Linked DNA regions of Arabidopsis thaliana. The protein of the gene in region 1 interacts with the protein of each later gene in a biochemical or structural test. Each region holds a gene or a part of one and is shown on either strand. Other genes may lie near its edges.

The links.
Region 2: the proteins of AFH1 (region 1) and FIP2 form a complex in vitro, tested with the Arabidopsis thaliana proteins (one study listed by BioGRID).

What each region holds. Positions count from the first base shown.
Region 1 is NC_003074.8:9,250,036-9,257,056, forward strand, and holds AFH1 (formin homology 1), read right to left. Parts: upstream 5,049-7,021; 5' UTR 4,792-5,048; coding exon 2,918-4,791; intron 2,832-2,917; coding exon 2,626-2,831; intron 2,445-2,625; coding exon 2,200-2,444; intron 2,116-2,199; coding exon 1,285-2,115; 3' UTR 1,058-1,284; downstream 1-1,057. UniProt on the Arabidopsis thaliana protein: Might be involved in the organization and polarity of the actin cytoskeleton. Involved in polar pollen cell growth process by maintaining tip-focused cell membrane expansion for the polar extension of pollen tubes.
Region 2 is NC_003076.8:22,316,018-22,322,905, forward strand, and holds FIP2 (potassium channel tetramerization domain-containing protein / pentapeptide repeat-containing protein), read left to right. Parts: upstream 1-2,287; 5' UTR 2,288-2,336; intron 2,337-2,589; 5' UTR 2,590-2,626; coding exon 2,627-2,672; intron 2,673-3,023; coding exon 3,024-3,133; intron 3,134-3,579; coding exon 3,580-3,714; intron 3,715-3,855; coding exon 3,856-4,002; intron 4,003-4,379; coding exon 4,380-4,463; intron 4,464-4,568; coding exon 4,569-4,615; intron 4,616-4,708; coding exon 4,709-4,782; intron 4,783-4,894; coding exon 4,895-4,953; intron 4,954-5,131; coding exon 5,132-5,191; intron 5,192-5,307; coding exon 5,308-5,388; coding exon of another isoform or gene 5,389-5,418; exon of another isoform or gene 5,419-5,528; coding exon 5,529-5,582; 3' UTR 5,583-5,788; downstream 5,789-6,888. Other genes in the region: AT5G54980 (Uncharacterized protein family (UPF0497)), read left to right, coding at 79-190, 289-543; AT5G54990 (RING/U-box superfamily protein), read left to right, coding at 1,488-2,168; AT5G55010 (uncharacterized protein), read left to right, coding at 5,883-6,212. UniProt on the Arabidopsis thaliana protein: May act as a substrate-specific adapter of an E3 ubiquitin-protein ligase complex (CUL3-RBX1-BTB) which mediates the ubiquitination and subsequent proteasomal degradation of target proteins.

The DNA.
Region 1 (7,021 bases):
AGTAAGTTTTATTTCTTTAATTTGGCTATAATTTGGTTGTGTTAGTTTTATCTTGGTCAATCTCAATGTATATATCAAAATGTTTTATTTTTTGAGCAGCAAAGAATTTGGAGATGATATGGACATGGTGCAGCCAAGAACAAGCGACTCTTGGAAGATTTAACTGGGTTACAGTAATTCTCTTTTACCACTCATAAAAAAAAACACGCATACACAGCCCAAAAAGTTTCTTACACTCAAAATTTTAAACACACAAATCCACGAATACATATACATCCAAAAAAAAAATCCATGCACACAAAATTGCAAAAACAAACTTCACAACTTCACGGTCACGAATCATGATCACTTAAACTCCACAACTTCACGATCACGAATCACGATTACATAAACTCCACAACTTCACGGTCACGAATCACGATTACATAAACTCCACAACTTCACGATCACGAATCACGATTACATAAACTCCACAACTTGACGATCACATAGAGTTTGCTTCCTCTCCAACACAATTTCAATATTGATTTTTTCACAACAATTTCTACAATTTTAACTCAATTCTTGTTTAATATTCTTTTTGCAATGTATTTCGAGCGTTAGTGAACTTGTAAAATTGTTTGTTATCAGTTATTACATTTTTTAAGATTTATTTTTTTTTGCTATAGAATTTGTAATTTGAATACCCTTGTTCTTGTTGTAATTCTTGTATTTAATATTCTTTTTGCAATGTAATTTTTGAGCGTTAGTAAACTTGTTATTCTTCGTCAGACCCCGAGAATAAAGTTTTAGTGTTACCTGGTAAAATGAGGTCTCCAACACTTTCTTAAACATTTTGAGAGAAAATAAATAGATAAAAGTGGATCATCATCACGATGCAGAATCTAGATGCTCACCTCTCGTCAATTATGTTCCAACTTTGGTTCAAATCCAACAAGGTTCTTTGAAGAAGGTAGAAGGTACTGGAGGTAGTGATTTATAATGATCATTATATTCAGCAACGAAGGGTAAGTAAGTAATATGTTTGCTCTCACATTCTTTCGTGGTACACACGGTTCAGATAAACAAATTTATTTGATTCTTAAATTATTAATTTAAGATGAACAAATTTTAAGGTAAACCTATATTATTTTTTTTACACAAATGCAGAAAAGAAAAACACTTCTTTGTTTCTGTCATTAATTCCCTCCCTCTATATATATATATTTAAATCTATTATGACAAAACAATCCAATACTGGATACTTTTTACAACAACATGCACAGACAAAGCTGAGATCTCACCTTAAGAAACTAATGAGATTGAGTTATGTTCGTCTTCATCAGACGAAGAGGTTGAAGACGACGACGAAGAAGAAGAAGATTGTCTTCGTCCAACGAGTCCAGGAAGAGGTTGTGGCATCATTGGATTCACTGGAACAGGAAACTTATGAGCAGAACTAACCATTGTTCTTTCGTTTATCATCCCTACTTCTTTGCAAACTCTGTCTACTACTCCAAGGAAGTCTCTAACCACCAAGAATATTCTAAACGGATGCGCTTCTTCTTTAGCCGAGTTTCCATGGAAATACTCTGTGATTTCTTTTACAAGTGATAACGCTACGCTCTCTTGAGCTTGTACTCTGATGATCTCTTCCTCAGCTCTTTTCAGAAACGTTTTCATCGATTCCGAAAACCTCTGACTGTTGCTTTCTTCTGTGATTGTTGATTGGACTTGGATTGCTTCGTTGATCTTGGCAATGCCTTGAGAAAGCTTGGAGACGTAGCTGCTTAGTACTTCTGAGTCCATCGCAGCAGCTTTCTTGACGTTACTAAGCTCAGAACAGAGACTTGATACAACTTGGAGACCTAGTTTCCGGCATTTAATGTCATCTGTTTGTGTATTGTTACCTGAGAGACGTGTGCCTTCTGCTCGGATTATCTCTTGTACAACGAAATGCAAGAGAGTTGTTTTCCCATCAGCGCCTTTGACATCGACTAGCTTGAGAAGTGTATCAAGCTTGAACGCATGTGCATCTCCTCGGTTTGTTCCAACGTTCATACGGTTTCCTGTCTTTAGAACCGCTTCAAGAAGCTTTAAGAACATCCTACTGTTCCTCAGTTCTTCACAAGCAGCCTACACAAACAATAGAAATGAAGTCATAATCTGTTACAATACAACCATATGGTAAAAAGAGAGAGAATAGCTTGTAATATATACCTCAAGAGTCTCAAAAGATTTCTTCAAGTATTCAACCTCGGACTCAAAGTTGGCTACATAGAGCATTGCATCAACTCTTTTAAAGGCGAAAGGGATGTCCAACATTGCCTTAAGGAATTTCTCAGCATGTCCAAGCTTAACAGGCGAATCATCATTGTACGCTTTCAACTTGCGCTCTTCTTCTTTTGTCGGTGCCATCTTCAGTAAGCTCTCAAGAAGTTCAGTCCCCAGTGTATCAGCATTGCCTGAAAAAGCATAACTAAGAACATCAATGTAACCAAGAATCTCCACACCATCAAAGAAGCAAAGCTTTCAGAATAACTCAACCATATCATCGAAAAACCATTAACAAATGCATAAGAACTCTAATTCTGGAGATCAAAGGAGAAGAAAATGAGAAACTATGTATGTGACAGCATAGTTTACCTTCAAGAAGAGCCTCACAAACTTCTTCTATAGTGACATTAAGTGCACGAAGCAAGATGGCAATATTCTGAGCCTTCTTCGGGTCCAGGACTCTGTTCTCTTGGTTCGGGCTCGGGAGAACACATCTTGGAGTTGTCTGACTCTGATTTGGTTTGTTGTTTAACGACTTCGCCACAAACAACGTCTCAATCATCTCCTCATCTAATCTGCAAACCACATTCATAATCTCAACAACCACATTCTCACTAAAAGCATATAGTATCATATAAACGAGTATGTCACATTAACTCACTTGAAAGAGCTTGATCGAAGATGATCCCAAACCATCTCACGATCCGAACTTGCTCTAACTTTATCCCAATGTAACGCCTTTAGCTTCGGTTTCGGAGTTTCCTCCGCCGCCTCACTCGCACAAACCGTCTCTGGAGTCTCCATAGGAGACGAAGTCACTGGTAAGTTTTCAGATGGGATCACAAAAGGATGTGAAGGCGGTGTAAGAGAAGGCGGTCTCGAGATTGTGTCCGCTTTAGTAGTCACCTGACTCCGTCGTCCCCACAACGGCAACGGTGGGGGAGGAGGAGGAGGCGGAGGCACACGAGACTGTAAAATTTGAGGTGAAATGTTCGATATCCGTGGTGATACATCTAAGCTATGACTAAAATCTCTATCCGGAGAAGATGATAGAGACTGCGAATTCCGGGAAGATAACTTAGGAGATGTAACTGGTGACTTATGAGAAGCTTTCTCCGGTGAAGAACAAACAGAAGAAGAAGACGACGACGGTGAACGAGAACGTAATGCATCTAACTGCTTAAGGAAACCTTGTCCTCCATGAGAGTTAGAAGGAGAAGATAGTAACTGAGATTGCAAACCTTGCCGGAGATTACTCATAAACGCCGGTAAGACCTCCGGAGATTTCTGAAAACATCTATACGGTGATGTAGAAGCAGAAGAATGCGACGGAGATCTCAAGTAAGCTTCTGGTGTATCATTTGGTCGTCGTTCCGGTGAAGTTGAAGTAGATGATAATGGAGAGTTCTCTTTTTTGTTATTCTCCGGTGAAGTTGTTAGAGATGTAACCGTCGGAGATCTAAAGATTTGATTCAATCCTACTTCATCGGAGTTTTTCAATCCCGACGATAAAGAAGCTAACGACAGTGACGGAGACCGAACAAATCTATAATCGGTTAACTCCGCCGGTTCTGGTGTGGAGATAACCGGCGGTTTTGGTTCAGATCTCTTAGGACTCATTGAAGGAGAGATACTGATAAATGTTGATCTTCCTGGTGAACCAGAGCTTGAAGATGAGCAAGAGATAGTGTCATTGTTAACAGATCTAGGATTTTGACCCGGAAGTCCGACCCGGTTTAACGGTTCTCGCCCGCTTTGTGAGCCACGTGGAGAGTAAAACTCATCTTCTTCATCTTCTTCTCCGATTGAACCAACATCTGGATTTAAACGGAAACTTCGTTTCATCAATGGAGGAAGTGGTTGAAGATCTGGAGATTCAAGTTTTCTTGAGCTTGATCCATTATTACTAAGAGATTGTTCATCGATTCCTCTTTGATTCACCATTGTTCCTAAGTAAAGAAACTCAGAGCTGTTGTTATTGGTGGAGCTCGTGGTGGTCCTCTGTTTACTTCTAGCCTCCGCATTGCGTCGTGTTGGAGGCGCCGTTGCCGGAGGAGGAGGGTAGACACGGCGGCTACTGTCGGTGGTGTATGTTTTGCTATCATCGGAGAAGTTAAGATCTTGGTTACGTTTGCTTCTTCGCCAATAGAGTAAAGCGATAAGTAGAGCGACTAAAGCAGCGGAGGAAACGGCGGAGATAGCGACGATAAGGAGTTTTTTGGAGTTAGGTGGGGATTTAGTGGCGTGAGGGACGATTAGAGATGAGATATTCGCCGGAAAAGAAGCGAAGGAGGCTGGAGAAGGTGGTGGTGGAGATGAAGGGTATAAAGGGAAGAAAGGAGAAGCATTTGGGTCTGATGAAGATGGAGGAGTGGTTGAAGAGAATGGTAGTTTAGGAAGTGGTGGTGGTGATGGTGGTGACGGTGGTGGTGAATCTATAGGGAAGAATGGTTCGTGGAGTACACGACGGTCGGCGAAGACTAGATCGGAGGATGAAGATAAGAGTAAGTAGAAGAAGAATAAGAAGAAGAGCATTGTGTTATCTTCTTCTTTCTTCTTCAAGAGTTCAAGATCTGAGAAAAGAGAAGAGAGAAACTTTTTGAATAGAGTGATGAATCCAGCTAAGATTCTGCTGGTGATGGTTTGATAATTTTGTTTTTGGTTTGTTCTCTTAACTCAGTGATGGTGAGAGAGTAGTAGAGAGAGTAGAGAGAAAGCCAAAAGAGGTGATGGAAGAAGAGTGGTTGATTCTTAATTTTATTTTTACGTAGTGGGGTCCATTTCAGACAGTAACATATGAGATTATAACACGTAGGATAAGACGTGGACTTTGTAATAGTCCGCAGAAGTGTACACACTGAAAGTAAACACTGTTCATTGAATTGCACCGTACGCACAATGTTGAAAATAAAAATGCGAGTGGATTTTTATTTTATTAAAAAGTTATTACGGCGGTTTGACGACGTCTGTAATAAAGAAAACATAAAATAATGGTGTGTTAATGTTTGAGGAGGAGGAAGTGGTAGTGGGTGTATTGTGCTGAGTTCTTTACTTTATTTTGACCGACACTGTCTCAGGATGTGTAAATGGTCGGTTCATGTGCTTTCGCCGAATGCTGTATGTACAAAGCGTAAAATTGGAGGACAGGTCTAACTGGTGTAGATAATAAGGAGGAATTAGGACATATGATGAGAAACTTATACAGTAGCATCGTTTGATAAAATATCGATCGTTGCAAATAGTTAAGTTAACCATAAACTTTTAAATGGCTACATCATGGTTCATGCAATAACCATATCTCTAAATGCGTCCCTTAAATCTTCTTAATAAGCCAGTTATACTTCCTGCGTCTTATGCAAATGTCGACTGTGTGAATCCTCTTTCTGTTTTGGGGCAACAAACATTAGACCACAACATGGTTTTGTTTGTTTTTGTTGGATTTTGCAATCATAAAAATGGCACTAGAAATTGATGGTATTGAATATGACAGAAATACTGAATTTACCAGGACTAGGACTGCAAAATTTATCAAATTTAAAGCAAATAATGTCTGATTCTTGTAAAATTTGTGGGCCTGTGAATGTTAAGAAAAACTATAAAGTGAACTATTAATAGTTCATATAAAAGTTCAAATAAAAAGAGGTGCTAGAAAACCATAATTGGACTAAGAAAGGGAGTAAAATAATTGGTCACGTGGGAAAGCTACTGAAAATGTAAGAGTACAAGAGTATCAGGAAACCACCGACACACAAAATTGAACTTTATACTTTTATATGCAAAAATACCTTATAAGTAGTCTCATCGTTTTATTTTTAAAATTTATATAGTGTTTCAAAAAAAAGAAAATCATTGCGGATGGATGAGTAGTTGTTTTACGTTTGTGGATGAGTTTTTATTTTACACCATAGCGGATGGTTATAGAAGAACCTCTAAAACTATCTCCATTGGTAGTATCTCATAAGAATTTTTCATAGTTAAAAAAATAAAAATAATAAAAGTAAAAGAGAGATTGTAGAAAGTTTCTCGCTTCAGAAACTTTGAGATACTTTTTACGATCCATCATGACAATTTTCTTTTTACTATTGGTTTAATTTTTTAACAAAAATATTTTTTTAATCAAATAATCAAATTATAATATAATATTAATATTTTTTTGTTTGAGAAACTTTATGGATTTCTCGTGGATGAAAATGCCCTAAATATTTAGTTGAAATTGTAAGAGTGATGAATCATATATATGAAAGTTGGTCAACTCTCTTCATATGAGTGATCATACAAGAAAATGACATGTGTCATTCTACATTAATTAAATAAACAAATTAGTAAAATTAATTGAGGAAAAATTAAAAGTTTTTTGTTGTGTTACATTTTCTATTAATCTCACTCTTAAAGTGAATTTTCTAAAAACATTCAATAAATAAAAAATCATAATAATGTATCAAGTACTACTTTCATTCTATTTTACTTATTTTTTAAAAAAAATTTATCAATAGTTATTAATCCATAATGGCTAACATTTACGTGTGTTGTAGTTTAGATGTTTGCTATCTAACCTCATATTAATTTAGTAATTTTAGTTGGATATTTTCTTATTATTACGTTTTATGTGAATCTTATTTATCATATGACCTTCTTTATGTTTATTTTTGTGCGGTCTGATAACTTGATAACATTGATATACAATGTTTTCACGTAATGGTCATCCGAGGCATTAGACATATCCACACAGAAATATGAGAATCTATATGGCTATATGCAAAGGAAC
Region 2 (6,888 bases), on another chromosome or scaffold:
TAAACATATACTCTTTACTTTCTTTCAACTTTTTAGTAAGTATTTTATAATTATTAATTAATTAGTTATAATTTGTAGGTATATGGTTGGTGTGAGTGCCATATCTGCTATTTATGCTCTGCTCTCTACTGTTTCTTCATGGGTCACATGTTTAGTCTCCAAAGCTTGGCTCTTCTTTATTCCTGACCAGGTTTTTTAAAATTATCTTCTCAATCATTTATCAAATATCTAGTATGCAATTTCTTATGTTAGTTAATAATGTTTTTATATTTTTTTGGGTGTATGAAGGTTTTAGCTTATGTGATGACAACATCAGTAGCAGGAGCAACAGAGATAGTGTATCTACTTAACAAAGGAGACAAAATAGTGACATGGAGTGAAATGTGTTCTTCTTATCCACATTATTGTTCAAAACTCACAATTGCTTTGGGACTTCATGTCTTTGTTCTTTTCTTTTTCTTATTTCTCTCTGTCATTTCTGCTTATAGAGCTTTTAGTCCCTTTGATCCTCCTTGTGATTCTCAAACCAATAATGATGCTTAAATTAGTCAGTTTTGGATTCAACTTTATCAAAATGTTGCAGCAGTTTATGGTGTTTTAACTTTCTTCTCAAAATATTACAAAATATTTTTTTTTATGCCGCCAACTGTTGTTGTAGGCACCATACTCCTACAAAGAACAAGCGGGTTAGGCAGCCGTTTAGAAATACCAATTTATTTTATGTTTTTTAAGGCTACCAAATTATTATTTTACTTTTTAATGTTAATATATAGGTGTATCTTAAAATTTTTGTTTAATAAATTTTTTAACACAAATTTTGCATGATTTTAAACTAATTTTGAATAAGGGATAGAAAGAGCGCTACAAAAAAAATCTTGACTCGGACCATCATTTTTGTTGGACCGGCACATCCTGTAGATGTATAAATAACTTATTTTGCGGAAAAAAATAGATGTTTACATGATTTTACCTAAATACTACCATTTATGTAAATCTATAAATATCAGTTTATAGCAAGTTATAAATCCTTACATGGATTAACAGGTGTACAAAATTTTACAAAATAATAAATACAAAAGCATTGAAATAGTGTTTTTAACCAAAAGAAAAAAAAGATACTGTAATCTATAGAAAGAATCAAAGTGAAGTTGCAGAAATAAAGACCAAATCAAATGAATAATTTATTAAATTGATAAGGTGGCAACCAACAAATATATTGCACTTAATATAGTAAAAAATCATACATTGCTGTCAGTGAGTAGTAAACCAAGTAGTCACCCATATATAAATTTCTTGAAAATATGAAACTCCTAATCCTACATGACTTAAACCTTTTTTAGATAATTTCATTATCAAATGGCTATTCTTTCAATTCACCCTTATATCTTTGCACAACAATAGAGAGAGAAAAAGAAGTTCAAAAAAAACATAAGATCTAATTAAGAGAGGTTTTTGGTCTAGTTCCTCTGGTTCATACCACACCAACCATGAAGAACAGCTACAAGCATGAACTCATCTCAACCTCAACGAACGAAACTGATCGAGTCATTAATCGTTGCTTTCTCCGGAAAAAGACCACAAAAGAAGTCATTCATCTCAAAGCTTCTCAGGTCGAATCAGATTCGTATTCCTTCATCGTAACTTACCAGCCAAATCTTCGGATTCGTCATGAAAATCTCGATGGACACCAACTTAAGACCACTCTTGAACGTCATCCCGATCGTGTATTTAAACTCGAAGACAACATCCCAAAACAGTTTCTTGTCTCTCAAGAAACATGCCTTGAACACGTCATGATCATCTTGTCGGCGATGTATCTCCCGCAAACTATTCAAGAACGTCTTGTCCGTTACATCTCAACCGAATCCGTCAAGTTCAGAAACCGCCGCTGCGGAACAGGAGGAGGTTTGAAGGTAGAAGTTGACGTTAAAGTCGACGTGGAACAATGGGTGAGGATTGATTGTTGTTGTAAACAAAAGGGTACTTGTCTGGTCCCGGCGTTGGATTGTCCGATATGCTTAACGGAGTTATCTAGTGGGGTGAGTCGCATGAAGTTACCATGTTCCCATGTTTTTCACAGAGACTGTATAATGACGTGGCTGAAAAAGAACCCTTCTTGTCCTATCTGCCGAACCAAAGCTCATGGCAAAACTGTTTCTATCTATTAAGCTGTATGTGAACTTTTGTATTGGGCTTTAATATGTGAATTGGGCTTTTATCCAATCCATTTAAGCCCATTTAGTTTCCTTGGTCGGAAAAAGCAATAAGAATCATTTTTTCTTAGTCTCTTCGACCAAAATTCTCAGCAAGAACGAAGAAAGACGAAATATTCGCAGGTAAAAATCACACTTTCTACTTGTGTAAATCAAAACCATTTTTCATTCAATTTGTTTACGAAATATGAGTAATCCTCGTTTAACTTATGAATTTGAGTTACTGGATCGCAGTATTTTTGCTATGAAACATTCAAAATTTTCAATAGAATTAGAGCGCAAAGATTCGAGATTTTGTCAACTCTAGTTCTGTGTAGGCCTTAAGTTATGTTTACATCATCATCATGATCATCATCAAGTGATAGTCTTCTTACAGGTCAAAGCTTGGTGTTGAGTTCTCTTCTATCTTTCTCATGGAGACGAGCTCTAACTTGTCTTCCATGGTTCGTCTTAACATTGGTAAATTTCGTCCTTTTATATATTTTCTTGCAATCCCATTACTCATCACTTAGTTAAACGTTTAAATTCCTGTGAAAAATCAATCCTTTTTTATCCACAATGTTTAACTTTGAACCAATTATTGATTAACTAAAACTGGTAGCTAGAATCGTGTGAGAAAGGATGTGCTTGGTCATCTTTTCCTAGTTATGTTTCTGAATCCTGTGATTGAGATGGTGAATGCTCTAGTTCAGCAAATGTTTCTCACTTTGAGGCTTAGGTTTCGTTGACCTCTCTGGTTTCAGTTGTAAACTTCAATCTTTGTTGGGCTGATCATAATTAACTGTGATAGCTAATGTTGTTTTCATGCAGGTGGAAAGAAATTTTGTACGACCATTGATACTTTGACTATTCGTGAGCCAGACTCAATGCTCGCAGCGATGTTTAGTGGTCGACATGCAATGTGCCAGGAATCCAAAAAGGTAATTGTTGCATTCTTTATTACTTGATTTGCACCCCAATATTTTGTTTCAGGATGGTGCTAGTTCAGAACCTGCATATTTATAGGCTTCACTGAGTGTAATAGTTGGTCCTTGGATTGAGTAGCCTTCATTGAATGATATTTTAAAATTTAGTTTACAACAGAGACTGTGATTTTAGCTACCGACTATAAGATTTGCTTCAAAATATAAGAATCGATTCAAAGTTTTGACGCCATGTACCAGAAAATCTGTTAGACATAACAATATACTGTATACACTCACATTTATATGTATGAGTATGCTTTTTCCATTTAGCAGCACCTTAGGATGGCATAATAGCCTTAAAGACTTTAAGTTAAGGGCGAGGTTCAAACGAGGAAAGGCTTGCGCTGTATGCATACATGGATGTGTATTTCCACTAAACTAGTTAATTTTTATTGTTGCAGGGATATGTATTCATAGATAGGGATGGGAAGCACTTCCGTCATATTTTAAATTGGTTGCGTGATGGCGTTATTCCTAGTCTGTCAGATCCTGATTGTTCTGAACTTTTGCGGGAAGCAGACTACTATCAGCTTCTTGTACGCTAAGTTTCTCTCTTACCTTACTATTCTCGTTTTTGTTTTTCATTTCTTAGCTAGTAACTGGAGTTTTACTTTCTGTGGAGTACAGAAATAATTTGTGTTGGAGATGTAATACATTGCATTCTCTTCCTATTTCAGGGACTGAAAGATGGAATAAAAGATTCGAGAAAAGAAGTTGGTGAAGTAGAAGCTGAATTAACGCGTATAGATATCATCAAATGTATACAAACCGAAAGAGTCAGGTTCCGAGGAGTTAATCTTTCTGGAATCGATCTTTCTAAACTGGTAATATTTCTTAACCTCATATTCTTGTAGTTTACAATGCTGCTGATTTGAAACCACTACATTTCTGATCCCCAAATCAGTTCCTTCAGATTTCATTTGTGGGTTTGATTAACTTCTATGAAGGAAAATTAATAGAACGTATGGACTAACTGATTCTTGTTGTTTTAACCTGGAGTTTAAAAAGAACTTGCAGTTACATTTTAATTTGATTTTTTCAACTGGAATACACATCTGCTGTCTTAGTGAGTGTCTTTATTTCTTGTCAACATTAAGGGATTAGTAAACCTATCCGGGAAGAAGAGCTTCTTCGTCTTAGTCAGTGTCTAGAAGAAACCATTTCGTATTTACTGTCTGAATGTTCTCTTTGAATAATGTAGGATCTATCCCTTGTGGATTTCAGCTATGCTTGTCTCAGGAATGTGTTTTTCTCTCGTACAAATCTTCAATGTGCCAAATTTCGGGTAAATATGTTGTATCAACTTTTTTTCTGCTTTGCGAGACGAATAATATCATCGCATCAGGGGAGTTTGCTTGAACATCTGCTGAATTACTTAATGCTTAAACAGAATGCTGATGCAGAAGGCTCCATCTTTCACAATGCTATTTTGCGCGAGTAAGGAATTTGTTAGTTTCTCATCGTATATTGGACAATTTTTACTTGGTAACACTCACCTGAAAGATTTAAATTCTTTCTTTCCTATAAAAGGTGTGAGTTTACCAGCGCAAATCTTAGAGGAGCGTTGTTAGCTGGTACAAATCTTCAGAGTGCAAATCTACAAGGTGCATATAAGCCTATCTTGCTTGTTAACGATCTTTTAGACTGTCATGAAATGAAATTTGTACATACATATAACCATAATCTTACTAATTTGTTCCTACTTGTGTACTGTAGATGCCTGCTTAGTGGGCTGCAGCTTCTGTGGTGCAGATCTCCGCACTGCACACTTGCAGGTGCCTTAAGTAGTTAGTCTGTGTAGAATTAGAATTTTAGCTTAGACTTTTCACCATGACAATTAATGGTTATGAATTGCCGGTTTAATCCCCACCTTTCAATCCCACGTATCCAGTAGGTGTTTATGAGCATAGCGTGATTCGGTGATAATGTTTGATTCTCTTTCTTACCTAACAGAATGCAGACCTTACGAATGCCAACTTAGAAGGAGCAAATCTAGAAGGTGCAAATTTGAAGGTAAGCAATTCCTTTTATTGACAATTTATATTCAGCCTTATTTGATTTGTGCTAATAAGTGTAGTCTTAAATGAGTAGTGTTTAGTTACGGTTTTAACTGGATCTTATATGTATAGGGTGCAAAGTTGAGTAATGCCAACTTCAAAGGAGCAAACCTTCAACGAGCTTACTTGAGGCATGTGAATCTGCGAGAAGCGGTAAGTCCAAAACCAATACTTGGGTATTGAAAAACATACATGCGCAGATTGATTGATATAGGCCAGTAATTGGTTGGCTCTTATACAAGTTTCTGAGTAGAGTTTAAATGGTTAATCCTTGCGATATGTTTATGTAACAGCATATGGAAGGAGCAAACCTCGGTGGTGCTAATATGACCGGTGCTATCCGATAAACTCCATTTGTTCAGACTGACTGTAAGTCTCGTCTTTGTAACTGATTATGGCAAAACGTGAATGTATTGGCCATTTCTCAATGCTCCTTGTTGTTGAAAATTGAAATAACAAAAATATTTCTTTTTTTCTAAGAGGCATTTTTTCTAATAATGTTATCTTTCTCTAATCCCAAATGAATTTGGAAATTATAAACCTTCTAATCCTACATGAGTTTGCTTACGTTAAACAACAACAAAAGGAACACTATATATATATTCAGGTAGAGAGAACGAAGTTACAATCATAAGACAAACGAAATAATGTTGAAAATATTAGGGTTTAGTGGTAATAACAAAGTACCCAAAGATACCAGCTTCGAGCTACCGGACCATGTTACCACTATAGAGCGAAACTGTACGTGTTTCCACGAGTCAAAGACAACCAAGGAAGGCATTAATCTCAAAGCTTTTCCGGTAAAATCAAATTCGTTTTCCTTGTCAGTAATTTATGAAAAACTCGAAAATTTGGTAATAAAGATCTCGCTGAACACATATTCTCTTTACGACTTCAAATTCGTTTCAAACTTTCTCGATAGAAAGTCAAGGCAAATTACTTTTCTATTATGTTTTCATATTTATTTCAATTACTAAATATCAAACATTCGATTGTATGTATTAAAAAGAAAAGAAGAAATTTTTTTTTGATAATTATAATTAGCAATATATACAAGAAATCTTTAATACACTTAAGGCAATAACTTAAAATCTTCTTTTCTCACTTTTTTATTTCCTATCTCATTAAATTTTCTTTTCTCACTTCTTTAATACACTTAAGGCAATAATCATCTTTATCAAACTTTATTAATTATTTTTATATTTTTATATAGATACTATATTTTGGAAATTACCATTATATATATATATATATTAAATTTTTATTAAATACCAAAATTATGTTTTATTTTATTAACATCATGCATTATACCTTTTGAATGGTAATACAATAATGATACGAACACAAGTTACTAAATTACACATTATAATCAACCTAATATTCTTTTTGGCATATTTTTGTTCTAAATTAATTTTTATGTTTTGCTTAAAATTTTCGTAATTTCTTCTTCTAAGCCTTAGGTGGAGCAAGCCTTGGTGACTCGACAAAGTGAAGGGTTTGGTCTCCAGAAAGTTTTCTTCCAAGGTTCAAGAACGGATCTTCACAATTCAAATTGGTGAGAAACAGTTTGAATTTTGAGGATCCGTTCTTGAACCTTGCAAGAAAACTTTCTGAAGACCAAACCCTTCACTTTGTCGAATCATCAAGGCTTGC